Linked DNA regions of Arabidopsis thaliana. The protein of the gene in region 1 interacts with the protein of each later gene in a pairwise test. Each region holds a gene or a part of one and is shown on either strand. Other genes may lie near its edges.

The links. The genes of interacting proteins can lie anywhere in the genome.
Region 2: the proteins of AT4G02720 (region 1) and AT2G40430 interact in a two-hybrid assay, tested with the Arabidopsis thaliana proteins (one study listed by BioGRID).

What each region holds. Positions count from the first base shown.
Region 1 is NC_003075.7:1,203,586-1,207,758, reverse strand, and holds AT4G02720 (Ras-induced vulval development antagonist protein), read left to right. Parts: upstream 1-1,866; 5' UTR 1,867-1,945; coding exon 1,946-3,214; 3' UTR 3,215-3,670; downstream 3,671-4,173. Other genes in the region: AT4G02725 (spindle pole body-associated protein), read right to left, coding at 469-552, 765-906, 1,433-1,704.
Region 2 is NC_003071.7:16,878,696-16,884,516, reverse strand, and holds AT2G40430 (Nop53 protein), read left to right. Parts: upstream 1-2,018; 5' UTR 2,019-2,151; coding exon 2,152-2,320; intron 2,321-2,551; coding exon 2,552-2,721; intron 2,722-2,804; coding exon 2,805-2,856; intron 2,857-2,948; coding exon 2,949-2,974; intron 2,975-3,085; coding exon 3,086-3,169; intron 3,170-3,270; coding exon 3,271-3,381; intron 3,382-3,478; coding exon 3,479-3,561; intron 3,562-3,681; coding exon 3,682-3,772; intron 3,773-3,873; coding exon 3,874-3,925; intron 3,926-4,024; coding exon 4,025-4,115; intron 4,116-4,235; coding exon 4,236-4,358; intron 4,359-4,463; coding exon 4,464-4,586; intron 4,587-4,721; coding exon 4,722-4,788; intron 4,789-4,882; coding exon 4,883-4,990; 3' UTR 4,991-5,044; coding exon of another isoform or gene 5,045-5,051; 3' UTR 5,052-5,301; downstream 5,302-5,821. Other genes in the region: AT2G40420 (Transmembrane amino acid transporter family protein), read right to left, coding at 5,535-5,664, 5,760-5,821. UniProt on the Arabidopsis thaliana protein: May play a role in ribosome biogenesis.

The sequences.
Region 1 (4,173 bases):
CGTCGTCTCTCGTCGGATTTAGCAGAGTGGAGATGATCTCAATGAATCTCTCACCGTTACATATATATACATTCCGTTGACCATGACCTCTTGGGAATTACATTTTTACCCTTCATTCCTCATTTCTCGTATTGGTGGTTCTTCGGCTCGGTTCGGTTCGATTTGAATTTGTCGATTTTGTTGAACTAAAATTGGTCCGGTTCGTTTGGTTTATTTAGTTCGAAGGCACTTTATTCGGTTGGTTTCAGTAATGAGGTTTCGGTATATTTGGGTTAATTTCGGTTTGTATAATCGGTTCAATTCGATTTTAATGCCCACTACATTAGAGGACTCTGAAATCAAGATTTATGTATCCAAACATCTGTGAATGAAATTGAGATAAATCCATAGATGATGGTTATATTATACACACAACAGAAGGGAAGATTTATGCAAGAAACGAATGTAATTTTGAACATTGAGAAGATCCTATGAAGGCTTGTTTTTGCCGTAAATATCTTCAAAACCATCAGCTACTCGTTTCCTTCTTTCAGCAATCATTTCTGAATACGACTGAACCAAAGTACACGAAAAAACCACCAGAATCTCAAAGACAAGACCAAAGTAAAGTCTTGTTCACTAAGATTATAGAAACTAGCATTGTCTGAAGATGTTTAAACAGGATTTTTACTTTAACTTAGACTTAGTAAATTAGAGCTACGAACATTTCTTTAGTAAGGGAATGAAAAGGAGAGGTTGTTAGATGATGGAAGGGAAAATCATACCTTTGGGTAGCTATAAAGGAATATGTACCACCAAGCACCAATTACACCAACCGCAAGCGATGAAACTATGACCGAGTGTAGTATTACCCAGCTACATGCCACTATTGATAGACCCGTTAACATTATCGTCCATGGCTGACACCTGAGAAACATAGCCAGTTGCTTATTCAAAACCATACGGAAGAACACTAGGCCCTGAAAACGTCTAAGAAGAACCGTAAAGTTCTTGATTGCAAATACACACCAGATCAATAGATATTCAAAGCTGTAGATGCTGAGGTCGAAATGTTAAACCCTTCTTAACCCAATTACCATTACATAATCTGTATTTTGGTTCTTCACTATCTTCCTAACCAAAAGATTCAAACTTTTTCTTTCTATCTTCTAAACCACAACACACAATCATGAAACTGTAATGGGGTAAGTCTTGTTTTAAGTAGCATCAATAAATATATAGCTTCATATATGATTCAAAAAAGTTCTTGGGCAGGCATAAATCACTGAAAATGCTAATAAAGATTAAGGATTGGTCCACTTAAAAGTGAACTTAAGACTCTATCTAAGCTATAATCCCATATTCACAACCAACAAATACGATTCCTCATAAGTCTTAGGACCAAATCCAAACTACTTGAAATAAAATTGTTGGGAACTTAAATGAGATTTACCAAGAGGGTTTAGTGTCCCAAACAGAGTCGTATTCGAGAGAGAGATTGTCTAAGAAACCTTCCATGTCATCAACTACGCCTTTTTCATCGACAAATCTTGAATCCTTCGGCTCTCTCCGATTCCCACCAAAACTTCTAACTTTCGTACTAATCCTTATTGGTTTGAGATTGAACGAGTGTAAGTTCGTTCGGAAACTGAGTTTTGAAAGAAGATTCTCTGTTTGAGGCCGAAACGGCGACAGAGACACGGCGGACATGGAGAGACTTGCCATCTGAAGACGACGATAAGGATAGAGGACTCGATTGACTCTAATTAAAATGTGGGGTGCTTTGTGTAAAATCAAAACATGATTTTCAGTGGTGAATAATGATAAATATTGGGCCTATTCGTTAAGGGCCCAATAAGTAAAAAGGCGCAGATACTGTATATGAATCAAAGCCCTAATTTATCAGACAGCTGCTTAGATTTTGTTTTCTTCATTGTCGTCGTCGGAGTGAATTAGGGATTCGAGAATGACGATGAACTCGCTTCCGAGGAGATTTGGGAAGAATCATGGCTATTTGGATCGAGATTATCGAAACGGAAGACGATCTGGTTCAGATTCCGATGAAGAATTGAAGGGATTGAGTCACGAAGAGTATAGGAGGCAGAAACGGCTTAAGATGAGGAAATCAGCCAAGTTCTGCTTTTGGGAGAACACACCGAGTCCACCTAGAGATCAGAACGAGGATTCCGATGAGAACGCCGACGAGATTCAGGACAAGAACGGCGGCGAAAGAGATGATAATTCGAAAGGGAAAGAAAGGAAAGGTAAATCTGACTCGGAATCTGAATCTGATGGTTTGAGATCTAGGAAGAGGAAGAGTAAGAGCTCGAGGTCTAAGCGCAGGAGAAAGAGATCTTATGACAGCGATAGTGAATCCGAAGGGAGTGAGAGTGATTCGGAAGAGGAAGATAGGAGACGAAGGAGGAAGAGTTCTTCTAAGAGGAAGAAGAGTAGAAGCAGCCGTAGTTTTAGGAAAAAGCGAAGTCATAGGAGAAAGACGAAATACAGTGACTCTGATGAGAGCAGCGATGAAGATAGTAAAGCTGAGATTAGTGCTTCTTCGTCTGGGGAGGAAGAAGATACCAAGTCAAAGAGCAAGAGGCGGAAGAAATCTTCGGATTCTAGTTCAAAACGAAGCAAGGGAGAGAAGACGAAGTCAGGGAGTGACAGCGATGGTACTGAGGAAGATTCGAAGATGCAAGTAGACGAAACGGTGAAGAACACTGAGCTAGAACTTGATGAAGAAGAGTTGAAGAAGTTCAAAGAGATGATTGAATTAAAGAAGAAATCTTCAGCTGTTGATGAAGAGGAAGAAGAAGGTGATGTTGGTCCAATGCCATTACCTAAAGCTGAAGGTCACATCAGTTATGGTGGTGCTTTAAGACCCGGTGAAGGAGACGCCATTGCACAGTATGTTCAGCAAGGTAAACGTATCCCACGTAGAGGAGAAGTGGGTCTTAACGCTGAAGAGATTCAGAAGTTTGAGGATCTTGGTTATGTGATGAGTGGAAGTAGGCATCAAAGGATGAATGCTATTCGTATTAGAAAAGAAAACCAGGTTTACAGTGCTGAAGACAAACGGGCATTGGCCATGTTTAACTACGAGGAGAAGGCGAAGCGCGAGGCTAAGGTTATGTCTGATCTGCAGCGGCTTGTGCAGCGCCATATGGGAGAAGAGGTGGGGCCAAATCATGACCCTTTCGGTGCTGGAAAGACTGAAGAAGATGATGATTGATTTTGCTTGGCTTCCTGCTTCTGTTATGTGGGTACTCATCTTATGCTTTATCTTGTTGAATGTTCCTTATTTGCATCATAGATACTGCTGTTTGCTACTTGCCCGTTAATGAGCTTCGTAGTTTATGCTTTAATCTGCTATGTATCCGTTAATGAGCTTCATAGTTTATGCGTTAATCTGCTATGTATCACATGATTGTGTTTGTGTGTCAAAGATAATAGATTCTGACACTGAGGATCTGCAACCGTTCTTGTGCATTTACCTTAGGTCATGTTCGATGATTGAATTTTGCAGGGCATTCACTTAGTTCTGAGATTGTAGAACAATCAATTATTTAGGATATCCGCTTTGAGCCCACCACTGTATTTTCGAATAATGTCCTTTAATGAGCTTCACAGATTATGCATTCCTCCCTCTGTATTCATATCATTGCGTTTGTCTGTTAAGAATCCAGTCATATCATCATCAATGTTATCATTGTCACCATTATTATCATCATTCTATTTTTAGAACTGTGAAACAAAACAAGTACTTATATATATTATTGGGGATCTCTATAATTGTGAAGTGCAATAATTTCGGAATTTGGAGGCAGATAAAATTTGCAATAATATCCGAATTTGCAGGCAGATCATATTATTGGTAAATTACCTGCAAGGGTTCCAATTATAGTTTATGATTCCACTTTTGTGGAACTATACAATGTCTGAATCTGTTCTCAATAAATGCACTATCTCAATAGAAGACCCTACCAAGTACCTAGTCCATAATCTATTATTCGTTTCATAAATAATAACATATAAATCATTCAAAGAAGCAAAATGATTTTGGTTAAGAATTGAATGACAAAGAAAACGACATCTGTTCAATTTAGAGGAGATTAGCATTTTCGTATTACTATTCAAAGCTTAAAAATAGTATTTAAAAACAAAAAAATTATCAAAGAAATGTCATGTAAA
Region 2 (5,821 bases), on another chromosome or scaffold:
ATATTTAAAAAGAAATCGTAAAAGAGTCTCGTGTTTGTGACAGCTATATCTCCTTTGTCTTCCCCCCCCCCTCCCCCCCCGTAATTATATATTTACCCGAGACAAATTGAGATTAGTATCATTTTGGTTTTTACAATATGCACATAAAATCATGTTATAAGCAAAATTTAAAAAAAATATCCAATATTCGTACACTCATAATCAGTAGTTCCACTTGCAAAACGGTCATTGGTTTGTTTCCTACATATTAGGAAAGGATTCTGATTGTACTTGTAAATTTAAGGCTAACATAAATAGTTAAGTATACAATAACTTAGAGTGGTCACTCGACCCATTATCCCTAGTCCTAGTTTTAGTATAAATATGGCATAAATTTTCTAAATGGTTATGAATTTTAGCAATTTGATTTTTCTTAATATAAGAATTTGACCCAAAAAAACTTTGTAGTAGCATAGTTTTGTTAAAAACGAAAATTGATCTTTTATATGTAGCATTAAATTAGTAAGGTTTGTTTTTCTTCGAAAATATAGTATTAGTTATTACTACCAAAAAACGGAATTTATACCTTGTTTTTGAGAAAAAGTGATGTCATCATCAAACTAACATTTGATTGTTCTCTACAAACATTACATTTATACACACACAATTTTTTTTTTTTAAGTTCGTATTTGAATATATTATATTTTGTTATAAATTTGGACATCCAGAACAATACAAAAGCATATGTACTTATATACACATATGTTTCGTCATTTTAAAATTCATTACAATTATATATATTTAAACAAAATCACAAATGAAAAAAATAAAAATAAAAATAAAACTAAAAAATATGATGGTCCTATGGAATCGTAAATACGTATGCAGAAGTAAAATGTTTAGAAATATAAACACGGTTTTTACAAAAACAAAAATTAGAAAACGCAAGAACCTTAAAATCCGTCGAAAGTATCATAAGTTACATAATTCATGTTTGTCAAGACTCAAGACAATATGGTGTATGAATACAATCATATCCATTTTATTATCATAATTCTCATGTTTGAATGTCCAAAAAAAAAAAAAAAAGAGGATTTTCATTACGATCATCATCATTATAACACGTATATTTCTCTCTCGTTGTTTCTTCTCCATGTTGGCACATCAATGTTAAGGACGACTCATTAATTAAACTCCAAGATATAACATATCGGATGGACCATACGTGGGATTTAGAAGAGACCAAAAGGACAAAATAATATTGAACATATCTTAAGAAGAATTTACAATAATATGTTGTAGTCAGGGTTTAGCAATTTGATCTACCCCACTCTCCTCTTGAATGTGACAAAAGAATCAAATGAGAATTAGGTCACGGGGGCGGCTTTATGCTATCAAACATCACTTGTTTTTTTTCTTATCTCTCGATATTTTTTGTATAGTATTTGATCAAATAATAGACATTGTTCAATCATTTACATCCTCATATATATCAAAATAGAATACTGCTGAGACAAAAAAAAAAACGCGTTTATCATTAAGGTTATGACTACATATGCTTACATGTACATATATATGCGTGACGTTTGCATGCCTAATTATAAACTAGTTATAACCAAAACTTATTTGTTGGAATCCCACAAAAATGGGAGAGAACTCACGTTAACAAAATATATGCTCAAGTTTAACATATTGATCAATGTTGTTTATTTACATTAGAATCAGACGATGTCCGATTTTCCGTAATGATCAATGTTATCACTTCAATTTTTTTATTTCACTAACATGTAAGACATGATAACATTTTATACTGTGTTAATCTTTTTATGATAAAATTTTAGTTTTATGTACTTGATTTTTTTTATTTTTTATTTACTAAATACTTTGATGGTTTTTCTGTGAGTATGAAAAAGTGTTATTGTTGCAAAATGAAAAAAAGTAGTATATAACCAAGAAAAAAAAACAAAACTAAATATATGTGGAAAGGAAAATGAATGTACGTACGTCGTAGGAATTAAAAAGTATATGGGCCCATTAAGAGGAAATGGAGAAACGTAAGGCCCATTATGTTTCTCTCTAAGCCCTACCCCTAGTGTGTGTCCTCTTCTTCAATCATCATCTTTTCGATACCGAAGCAGCAACCTTCGCGCCGCCGAGAGATAACGAGAAAAAATGGGGAAGAGGTCGAAAACATCAAGGAAAGGGAAAAAAGCATGGAGGGCTAACATTAGCTCCGAGGACATTGAAGATTTCTTCGAGAAAACTACCAGAGATGCTCTCTCCGGTGGCAATCTCTCCGCTGCTCCCAGCGAAGACTTGTTCCACGTCGATAAATCCCATGGTTTGTTCTTACTTCTCTCTCTCTTTTTCAGCTGCAAAGTTTCAATTTTTCGATACATTAGCATCAGCAGAGTAAGATTTGATGAAGATTAGTTATTTAGCTGCTTGTTAAGATTTGATGGGAGTTATGAGAATGTTTATGATGTGATTGGTATTCAGGAAGTAAAAGAGTATTATTAATGTTTGAAAGAAGGCTTTGTGAATTTGATATTGATTTGATTTTGCTTATCAGACCTTCCGGTGAAGCGAAAGATTGAGAAACATAGAGAGAGAGTGCTCCGTGTTGACAGTATCTTAAAGAAGAATCCATTTGTCCAGTTAGTGCCATCTTCAAAGCCAAAGTTGAAGAAAAGTAAGAAGACAATCGTTATAGAAGACAAAGCACCTAAACAAGTTCAAAAAGTGAGTCATTTGATGATATGATTTCTTACATCTATAAGATATTTCAGGGATCTGATTTCATATGATTTCTCCTTTCTTTGCAGAGTGTTGGTGACGATTCTGTAATGGCCGACTTGTGGGGTGATGATAGTAAAGGTTTGCTTAGTCAATTATTCTGCTTTTTAGTTTTTTTTCTTCTTATCTATGTCATGAATTAACGTTTCCGTTTGCAAAATATTTACTTGCAGGAGAACATGAGAGCAATCCTAGAAAGGTAATGTGTCTTCTGTACTTAAGTTGTTTGCTTTTGTTGTTTCTGTATTGAAAATGTTAGTTGGTGTTAGACAGTTACTCAGTTGGCTAAGAACTTTTGTCTGGTGTACAGATTTTCAAAAATCCTTCGATTATTTCAGCAGTAGAAATTGAACATCCAGGATGCTCATACAACCCTACAACTGAGAGTCACCAGGTAATAATTTATTATGAACTAAGTCTCACAGATTTGAGCTTGTTTTATCATCCTAGTCTTGTGTGTGAATCTTGCATTCACACCTCTTTTCTGTATTGCAGGATATGTTGGCTGAAGCCGTCGCTCAAGAAATGCAGAAAGTTTACAAAACTGAGTTAGGGCCTGCACCTGTTCCTTTGACTATTGAAGGGGATACACTCAGTGAAGATGAGGTGAGTCTTTTGCTTGTATGTTATAATATAATCGATGGAAAGATGAGCATTGAATTTGATAGTTTAATCCATATGGCTGTTGTATTTACCATCTCAGAGGTACTTTCTTGATGTGGACAATTTTAGTGAAGGCGAAGATAATGAAAACGTTGAGAATGAAGTGTCAGAGGCTGGAATTAAGTAAGAAGCTCTCTTATTTACATGTTAACATAAATTTGTCCAAGAGAAAATTATAATTTGTTGACTTACTCCATCAGCAAAGAGTTGGATTTCATGTTTTTTGAAATTCTTATACTGCAGATTAAAGGAGAACCCATTTGTCCAGTTAAAGCCATCTTCAAATACAAACTTGAAGAAAATAGAAGACAAAACACCTAGACAAGCTCAAAAAGTGAGTAATTTGATGATATGTTTTTTTACATGTATGAGATGTTTTGTCTCGAACTTTTTCCTTGGGAGATTATCTTCATATGATTTCTCCCTTCTTTGCAGAGTGTTGGTGACGATTCTGTAATGGTGGACTTGTTGGGTGATGATATTAAAGGTTTGCTTAGTCAATTATTCCACTTTTTAGTTTCTTCGTAATCTTATCTTTTTCTATGTCATGAATTAACATTTCCGTTACAAAACAAATTACTTGCAGAAGACCTGAAGTACTTTCTTGAAGTGGGCAATGTTGGTGAAGGTGAAGATAATAAAGATGTTAAGATTGAAGTGTCAGAGGCTGGGAACAAGTAAGAAGCTCTCTTATTTACATATCAACATAAAATCGTCTAAGATAAAATTGTAATTTGTTAACTTACTCCCTCAGCAAAAAGTTGGATACTCATGTTTTTGAAATTATTGTACTGCAGTGTCTCAAGGAAAACAAAGAGGGTTACCCGTGTGGAATTAAATAAGCGATGTAGGCAAAAGGCACTGCGAAAAAAAGAGACAAAGGAAAAGGCTAAAGAGAAGATATTAAACGAAATTGACAGGTATCTTGTGATTTTAATATATCTTGATGATGTCTGATTACTTATAAAATCACGCCTAGACAAAATCTTGTTTTAATTATTTCGTTCCTGTTTTTGCCTTTATAGCTTGCCCAACATCTTAGAAGAAATAGCCAAAGAAGATGAGGATAAACAGAATAAACATTTACGAAGGGTCATCGCCAAGCAGGAAGTGCTGAAGATACGTCCTCCTCGGTTGGGAAAGTACAAGTATGAAACTAAATCCTTCTTTACATCTATACATTTCTGTTATATTTTCAAGCTTACTAGTGTACTCATTCTGATCAATTATATTTGTAGTTCTGAAAATTGGATTTTTGGGATATTGACTGTTGTTTGTTTCAGATTTGAGGCTCCTCCAGTTCAAGTCCTCTTGACAGAAGAGATGACTGGGTCACTTCGTAAGCTGAAGGTATGACTCCCTGTTCCCTGAAACCAACGTTTTTGGTCCTTGTGAATTTCTTGGTAGCTAAAAAACTGAAGATGTCATCCTTTTTATTTAAAAGGCATGTTGCACTCTTGCAAGAGATCGATTCAAGAGCCTCGAGAAGCGAGGAATACTTGTTCCCTCAAAACAGATTAGAAGGTTAGTTTTTTACGGCAATGACTCATAGAGTGAAATAACGTAAGAATATACTGAGTTCTTACTATGATCATGATTTGTGCAGGTTTTAGGAACTCTTCTCACTGTCTGCAGCTTGTTTGAGAAAAGCTTTTGGAAGAAAACAACAACAAAGACTGTCTCAATCGACTCATATATCTTGTGTTTTAACATAAAGTTTGTTTTACTGTTGTCAAATTTTGAGTTTATGAAAAAAATACAAAAGATTTTGCTACCAATCTTTCTGCTTAATCTCTATATGAAGTATTTTAGTTCGTTGCCCGTGAATCAGCTAAAGACTGGTGAAGGAAAGATCCTTTTGAATAACAAAAAGTTAAATTTTGTACTTAAATGTCATTTTACGAGACATAAAGCATAGTGAGTGTTGGTGCTTAAAAGTTAAAACTCTGCTTCAATCTTATACACACATTTTTCCTGAAGTTGCTATTATAATACACTTCTTACAAACCTATTTTACATACAATAGACATGAATAAATGCAACACAAGCTCTACCATCTAACAAATCCTTGAAGAGAAAGGACTCCAGAAAGCGTTTCATGTTTCTTCTGTTGCTGTGAAAGTGTATATATTTGTCGAAATAGCGATGATACTTGTGGCAACAGCAAGAACAAGCATTACTGAAGCTACAATCTTCTCTCTTAAAGTCGAGAAACCATTTACATTCCTGCCAGTTTCCAAAAACACCAAAACAATGGATAAGATTTAAACTTTATTCATTCAGAATTACATGAGAGGGATTAACCAAAAAGGGTAACATACCGTAGGACAATTGCAGCTGGAAAGATGAATGCTATAGAGACTGTAGAAGTTGATCCCAAGAA